2 linked regions of the Schizosaccharomyces pombe genome follow. Changing the gene in region 2 together with the main gene of any one other region gives a genetic interaction. Each region holds a gene or a part of one and is shown on either strand. Other genes may lie near its edges.

Region 1 (4,214 bases), on a different chromosome or scaffold from region 2:
AACGATCACTCCCTGCATTCCCTTCCTTCTTCCTTCCTCCTCCTTTCACCCCACTATTCCCCTCAACCACTCCACTCTTCCTCGCTCTTTTTTCTTATTCTCTCTCTCTCTCTTTCATTATCCCATTTAACGATTTCCTCCATTTCCCTCCTTCCACTCTCCACTCAACAAGGTTTGTCTCCCTCTCATGTGCTCCGTTAATGCTCATTCTGGCTCCGACGGCTTTTTGCCTATATACATCAACAAACTTTGCTTGCGTTTTCTCCTTCCTTCCTCCCCATTTCCTCTCTTCCTTTTATTTTTTAATTTCACGCGTTTTCTTCTCTACACTCTTAATTGTTCTTTTGCGCGCCCTTGATTTCGCGCCTTCTTCTTTTCTAGCATCGTTTGTTTTTGTTTTGGCTTTGCTTTGTTATTTTGTTTCCCTTTCCTTTTACTGTGCCTTCACTCTCCTCTTTTAATTTCGTTTTCTCTCTCTCATTTTCCTGAGTATTCATGCTGTCATTGGTTTCCTAATTTTTCATTGGTTTGTTTGTTTACGTTTTCTTCTTTCGCTGCTACAATTGTATTTATGCGCGCATCTTTTTATTTATTTACTCAAGTACATATAGTTATATATATATATATATATATAAAGCATCTGCCTTGCTTTCTTTCTACGGCTTCCCCCCCAACTGCCAATACACTCTTCACTCAGTGCTTTGGTTAGCCCTTATTCAAAAAAGTTTGCGTACTGTATACTGTCTTGAGACTTGAACAACTTTTTTTTTTTTTTTTTTTTTTTTTTCAGCTTACATTTTGTAGTCTGTTTTTCTTTTTCTTTTACTTTTTAATCCTTTTTTTTTTCTTTTTCTCTCTCTCTCTCTCTCTCTGTTTTTTCATTCATCTAATCGCTCATCCCTACTTATCCTTTTATAATTACAAACCCGATTTCTTTACTCGCTCTTCATCTCCCCTTTTTTTTCAGTTTTTGTTGTTTACTGTTATTTTTTACTTTTTTTTTCGTTTCACTCCAAATTGTCTCGAAAAGCTAATTGTTGAATTTTTTTTTCTCAACTTGCTGAAGTAAACATTACCTCCCTTTTTAATCTTTGATTTCTATTTATACATCTTTTCTTATACGACAAAGACATCCACCAGTTGATTTTCTCTTGTCTCTTTAATTTCTTTTTTCCGTCTACTTTTCGTCTATCATACTCAGTTCTTGTTTATTCTCTCCTCTTTAATTGCTCCTTCCATTTCATTTCACTTTCTACTCGATTTTTACTTCTCAAGTTGTTTCTTTATTTAGATAACTTTCAAATTCTCCTCTTTACATACTTATTGTTTGTCTTGCTACGTTTAACTTATTTTTCTTTGATTTTTTTCCTGCTTGTCCCATTGTTTGTTTACCTCGCTCCCAATTTTCCTCACCGGCAATTGCTAATTAAAATCCATAAAGTTATCTAACCGATCTATTACGTTAGATATCTTAATTTGGGTTTAACTTTCTTGCTGAATAATCTTCAACGCTACGCTATTTTTCAGTGCTTAACAAAGTGAAATTTTTTATTCCTAAAAAATTCTCTTTCCTAAGTTGCAAGCATTTTCAACTGCGTTACCAGCTTTTCAGAACCTGCGCACAACCAACCACCGTAAAATTTAGTTTGGAGGGTTCAATCCTATTTTTTTCCTTCTATATTAGCAGTTTTTTTGCAGAAGTCGAGCTTTTTACTAAGCCTCGTCTATTTGCCAGCGAAACAAGCATTCCTTGGTCGGGTTTTGCTAGAAGTGAGTGTTAATAAGTCTTTTTCCTGTCTCTTGGGTAAATTTCTTATTGTTGAGCATTCTTTATCTCTTTTTCATTTTTTTTTATCGTTCTTCCTTTGTATTCTTCTTTCCTTGAAAGGAGTACTCAAGAAATCGATTACAAAACTCGAAAAAGACTTGATTAGGTAGAATAGCAAAGGAGTTAAAAATTTTTTTTTTAATTCTTCAATTTGCTTTCCTTTTCGAAATTCTTCAGCAATGTCGTTTCCTTATCAGCACACTTCACGTTCTCAAGTTCAGCCTCCTTTGGCTGCCCCCGGCTTGAGTATGTTTGCTCCTGTTTCGTCCAGCAATAGTGCAAACTCTGCTTCTTCGGTTGCTGCTTTGTTGAGTCATGCTCCTATGTATGGTCTTGGCCAGCGTCGTCCGTCCTTCTTACCTGGCGTTTCTGTGCCCGATACGCTTTCGGTAAGGTCGGGCTTCTCCATCCCTTCCTCCTCTCATCATCCTTCCGCTGTTCCTTCCCTTCTGTCGCAGCACCGTTTACAGCAACCTCAACCACGTCTCTACCCTTCTGCGCCTCTAAACTATTACTGGCCATCTTATCAGTCGGTTCCATCTGCCGCACCTCCACCACCCTCCCAGCAACGCTATATGCCTGACTCTGCCGTTGCCTATAATCCTAACCAAGATCAATTTGGCAATTCGGTGAATGTATCAGCTGCATGTAACAACGTTTCCGCCCCTTTGATTGCTAACAATTGTGCTCCTTCCTTTTATCAGTCTCGACATCCCGTAGCAGATGTGCCTGTAACCAACAATACCGCCACTACTACCTCCGAGACTGATAATACAATCCCAGGTAATCTTAACATGCCTTCGGTTGCTAACGTTCAACAACGTATTTCTCCTGTCTGCAAAACTAACATGGAGGATCAGGAAGAAACCGTTTATACCGGAGGTGTTGCTGCTAAACTGGATTACAAGATGGATCAAATGGTGGAATACTTGTCTATCATGACTTGTAAGTTGTATGCTCGTTTCCTGAATAATGCTCAAATGCATTCTCTTGCTAACTCTTTACCTGGTCTTGTGTTTTCTTTCCGTAAGGTCGTTACACAAATTTTGACGTCTACGCGTTTACCTCGTGCCTCTTGCTTGCTTGCCTTGTCATACCTTTCCGATCGTCTTGACGCCGCATCTCAAACGACTGATTTTGTAAACCAGTGGACTAAGGAGTCGTTATTCTTCCAAATATGTGCTCTTTTAACGACCGCCTTGATTTTGGCTAATAAGTTTTTGGATGACAATACGTTTACCAATCAATCCTGGTCGCAAGTTACTGGTTTCCGTACTGCCTTGTTGAACAGCTTTGAACAAGACTGGCTAGCTAGCATGTCCTGGAATCTTAGTCCCGGTCCTCGTGGTCAAAAGGCATGGGAGTGGTGGAGTGCTTCTTATTCTTTGTTTACTTCCTCAAACGCTACATACTCTGGTGAACAAAAAACTTATAGCCCTACTACGTTGAGCACCAACGCACCACCATCGCCCTCTTCTGGACGTTCTTGCTCTAATTGCAACTACTATTATCCCTATACACCCGTGGGATATTATCCAGTGTACAATCGCTATGCAATGACTTAGTGATCGTGCTTACTTTCTGCGGGTGTTGTTGCTTGACGGGGTTTGTTTTTCGTTTCCTTGCGCTTATAAACACTTTACGTGTTTTTGTTATTCTTGTAACTTTTTTCTCTTTTCATATTGTATGACGGGAACTTTTGTTTAACCCGTCATATTGTATTCTCTAATCATCTCCGTGATGAATTCGGCTCTCTTGAAATTAATTTGCCGTTTGATCTTGCTTTTCTACTTTCTTATTTTTTCAAATTTTAACAGAGAAAAAAAAAATTTCCCAAAAAAAATTGAAAAGTAGTATACCGAAAAAAAGGAACCAACTTCTTATCAGTATCTGTTTTATTTTTGTCGTTGGACTTTTATTTTGCTTTCTCGTGTGGCTTTGTTATCTATTGGAATATCTTTTGATGCAATTCTGATTTGTTAATACTGCTTGATGTATATACATCCGCTACTACTATAGGGATCGCGGATTTCCTTTTTAAAGTTCGCCTTCAAAAATTAGTAGTCTACTTATACAACTAGCTTCATCAAGAAATACATTGTGAATAGATGAAAAGGCCCATGGATGCTTTGAGTTTATTTTTCTGTTTCATTAGCAAAGATTTTACTTCGGGCATCGTTTTTGTCCTTATTTTGTTTATTTTTTCTCCTTTTGATACTTAAATGAGAAACCTTTGCTTGCTGTTTTCTAAGGATTAAGCATAAAATTTTTTATTGCGATTTTCCAACTCCCAAACTGTTTGTTATGATTACCTAGTTTTATTGCGCATTCGTCGTATGTCTACTAGTGAGATAACGGATTTATATAATCTCTTATACTTGATTCT
Region 2 (4,294 bases):
TCACAGTGCAAATTAATGAATTCTTTATACAAATGGTACAAAAATAGATAAAAGAACAATCCCTTATTACAACACCTTGTTTTAGGAAAGTAAAAGTAAAATAACTTCAAAATGGCATTCGAAGAAAAAATCAGTGCCTAGAAGTTGAATTGTAAGCCAACCGTGATTAATTATTTTTAAAATGCAGTCAACCCAATTTTGACACGAAATGTCATCGAAATCTGGTGTTTGCTAATACTCTATAGAATGAGAACCTAGCAGTAACACTTGAGAAAGAAAAAAGAAGAACAATTAAAGTAAAATCTCTTCTCTAAATGATAAAATCCTTTCTCACCTACTATGCACTGTTTTGCGATTATATTAAGTCGTGAAGTACCGGTAAACCCGTTTTTGTGTTTGGTTGCAAACAACTCGTAACGGAAAAGCCCACTAAGTTATGTTAGGGTGACATTTTAGGTAGCGTGCAGTTATAAATAATTACAAAATAAATATATAAGCCGGCAGTATTTTATATTATTAGAAATGCTATCAACTTCGATTAAGGGACATAAAAGAGGAAACTATCACACATAAGTAGTAGCATAAAATTAACTTAATTCTGTAAGTCACATTGTAAAATTTACTCTCAAAGCCATCCTGGAGTTCATTAAGATTTTTAAGTAGGATGTTCATATCTTAAGCAAATAAAACACGTAGACAGATAATATATCAACTAGATAAAACAAGTGTATAACTCTTTGCGACTTCTTCGCCCACAGCAGCATTGATTTCAACAAACCAATGTTTAACCTGAGGGAAATAACTTAAAACATGCTGAAGAATTAGCATTGTTACTCAAAAATAAAGACATACTCTTGTGGGGAAAGTTGAATTGCCAATGTTAGCAAAATTCTCCGAAACCAAGGACTCAGCAACATTTACTGAAAGAATTCCAGGAAGCTGTCGATTAAACAGTGTATAATCATCTTCGTTTTGAGATGAATCTTCAGAAGAATCGTAGTCAACAGCAGTTTGAATATCACTATTATTTTCATCCCCGAAACTTATATATTTAGGAGCACCAGTATTCCAAAGTGAAGTAAAGTTTTCAATTGGTATCCATTTATTTGTACCCTGTTTGTATTAGTTCAAGTTAAAATCGAATGTATACGTACGGGATTAAGCAGGTACGATGGACTATACGTTGCCTTATACTTCATTTTGGGACATGTGTGAATATAATAACCTGCAAGGTCAATCAACGTAATTAAATAAATGACATTTTAGCCTACCCATGTAGTAGTACCGATATCCGCATTCAAGAGCAAGCCAGATTTCACGGCAGGCACTAATCCTTCCCAGAGAAAACTTAGACATATCAGGATCATAAAACAGATAAACGCTAGAAACACCATGTGGTAGCAAGTCTAAAACTCCAACTGCCACAAGCCTTCCTTGAAATCGATACATCTGATGATAAGAACCATACTTTATCCCCTTGTCTTCATTAAATAAAGGAGAGTTGCAAAGAAACCTGCTAAATCCTTTTTTCGTGATTTCCTCTTCTTTCTCTAAATGAACTTGCATTTGATACTTTTTGAAGACTTCAAATTTCTCATCGGTGTAAGTGCAAGGCTCCATAGTTACAGAGTATTTTTCAGCTCCGAGCGATTCTATAGTTTGAAAGGCATTGTTCAAATAATCTGTGCTAATTTCGCTTTTCATAGGTTTTAATGGCTTTCCATTTACATATTTGACCCATTTTTTTATTGCCTTCTTTTGCTCTTTTGCAATTTTAAAATTATAGCTGTCGAGTCTTCAACATTCGGCGGTTAGTAATCAATCATATTTGGCGACTTATGCTAAGTACCTGATTGTATAAAGAGAACAGCAAGATGTTTTCCCGTTGGGTTTATATAAATAATGTCCTGAACGTCTTATTTTATATTAGCAATGTTAACTAATAAAGGTTTTTACCTCCATCCCAAATCAATCAATCGCTGGTAGTCCTGAGGTTAAATGTAGGTTAGCAAAATTTGCAAAAAGCAGAGTTATACGCTTACTTCACAACTGAGCTTTTCTGCTAATAAACCAAAATGCTCGGTCTTTCTTCCACTTTTACAATAACCACATTCAGTACTGACGTTGTACCCTGTGTACAACAGTTTATCCAATACCATACTATTGTTTGAAAATTTCCCTGTTTAATATTAAATGAACTATATCATCAGTAGTAAAACTCTTAGTTCAGTTCTTTTGCCTTTATTTTGAAGGCTCTTTGAGTAGGTGAACTAAGACTACACCAATTATTTCTTGAAGATTAAGTACCCTATTTTTCGTTGAGTGCATGTTTATAGAAATTTCCTGATTAATCATATTAAAAAGTCTATCACATTTTCATACGAATATCTAGAAAAAAACCCAAAAAATACATAGTTCTCTTGACACCTTTTACAAGAGTCAATGACAAAAGTGTATACGTCTAATACAACTATAACATGCACTAACGATAAACAAAACATATAAAAAGCGACTAATATTAATATTATCCACGATACCATCCACCAAGTTCTATATATATAAATTAAGTCTAAAAGGTATATCAGTAAACCGTAAATATGTAAAAGACCAACTTCAACAACTAGCACCGTCTAAAGAAAATTAAAGGATAAACAACTCTCAACTTGTCAATCCAAAGAGCGAATTAAAAAATTAGTCTGAAATTATTCTTCATCATCAGAGAAGAATGATTTGGGTTTTTCGGTGCCCTTGGGAGATTGTAACCATGCTAATTCTCTCTCTCTAGCACGTCTTTCTTTGGCCTTGATTTCATTTCTCGTCAATTTCTTCTTTTTGGTAGCTTTAGCCTCAATCTTTTTCAAATCTTTCTCCGACAGATCTTCAAACTTTCCATCGTCAACAGCGGTCTTGCCCTTACCGGTAACCTTACCCGCTTCTACATGCCAGTGTTCAGGACACAACGCAGAAACAAATTCTTCATTATGTGAAATCATAACGACCCCACCTTCCCAATCACGAATAGCAACAGCTAAACCACCTAATGCATCTCTGTCCAAAAAGTTTGTAGGTTCGTCCAAAACCAAAAGCTGGGGGTTATTCCAGAGACACGCAGCAATAACAACTTTAACCTTTTGACCGCCAGACAAACTACTAATGGGGCTGTAATCAGCAATGTCGCCAGGAAGGCCCACATCCTCAAAATGTGCCCTGATGTCTTCGGGAATCAATTCACGGAAACCGAGACCTTCGCGAGAAGATTCCATATCATCAAAAGCCTGTACAAACTTTTGAAACCCATTTTCAAGCAATATTTCTCGAGACACCCACGTATTGTATTTATGAGGCTTCCCAAACCATTTAATTTCATATTGAAATGACTTTTTTAGTTTTTGACGGCCAATCAAAGCTTCCACTCTTCTACGTTCGCCATTGACCGTAATATCACGCTGAAGCTGAGCACGGTCTTCTTCGGTAAGTTTTCGAGATTCCTTCTCTGAAACTTCGCGGTCCTGTCCTCCAGCATAACGCCATTGAATATATTGACTTGGCGTTTTTTCCAGATGTTGATCCAAGTGATGAAAGGCATGCTGAGCAACGTAACCCACACGCAAGTTGGGATGCTTGAAAACTTTTCCTTCTTGAGGGATTACTTCACCGATAAGAACTTTAATAAGCGTTGATTTACCAGCACCGTTAGGACCTAAAATGGCAACACGAGAAGATAAAGATAACCCAACGGTAACATTATCTAATGACTTCTTCTTCGCGTTGGGATATGTATAAGAAGCGTTTGTCATTTTTAATATGAGACGTGTGTTTGAGCGCACACCAGTTAAGATACCGGGAGGTGGAAAAACAAACTTCTCGTTTGTGGCTGTCAATGTATAGTATGATTTAGCTTCCGGTTTGACCTTGACAAAAGCTGAAAGATTACCTTGATAATAACCAAGCTTTTTTGCCTGGTTTTTAACACCTTCATAATGAATGATGTCAGTACACACGTGGTCCAAAAATGAAGAGTCGTGAGAAACTATCAAGCAAGTAATATTCTTTTGAGAGGTTAAATATGCTTCCAGCCATGCAATATTGGCAACATCAAGATGATTTGTTGGTTCATCCAAAAGCAAAATATCAGCTTTCTGCAACATGGCACGAGCCAACTCCAGTTTCATTTTCCAACCACCAGATAAAGAAGCAACAGGATTTTCCTGCATCTCCGCAGTAAAACCAACAGAATGCAAAGCATCAGCAGCTTCTTGACGGGTAACATTCATAGTCAGTAACGCCTTATCTT

Evidence for each region. Genes that interact genetically often act in the same process or in processes that back each other up.
Region 1: mutations in ate1 (region 2) and clg1 together harm fitness less than expected from each alone (positive genetic interaction), as found in Schizosaccharomyces pombe (2 studies listed by BioGRID).

What each region holds. Positions count from the first base shown.
Region 1 is NC_003423.3:1,745,220-1,749,433, reverse strand, and holds clg1 (cyclin Clg1), read left to right. Parts: upstream 1-1,617; 5' UTR 1,618-2,007; coding exon 2,008-3,393; 3' UTR 3,394-3,657; downstream 3,658-4,214.
Region 2 is NC_003424.3:2,076,572-2,080,865, forward strand, and holds ate1 (arginine-tRNA--protein transferase), read right to left. Parts: upstream 2,273-4,294; 5' UTR 2,160-2,272; coding exon 2,043-2,159; exon of another isoform or gene 1,989-2,042; coding exon 1,957-1,988; exon of another isoform or gene 1,916-1,956; coding exon 1,850-1,915; exon of another isoform or gene 1,796-1,849; coding exon 1,272-1,795; exon of another isoform or gene 1,226-1,271; coding exon 1,155-1,225; exon of another isoform or gene 1,114-1,154; coding exon 853-1,113; exon of another isoform or gene 814-852; coding exon 709-813; 3' UTR 536-708; downstream 1-535. Other genes in the region: AAA family ATPase Elf1, read right to left, coding at 2,703-4,294.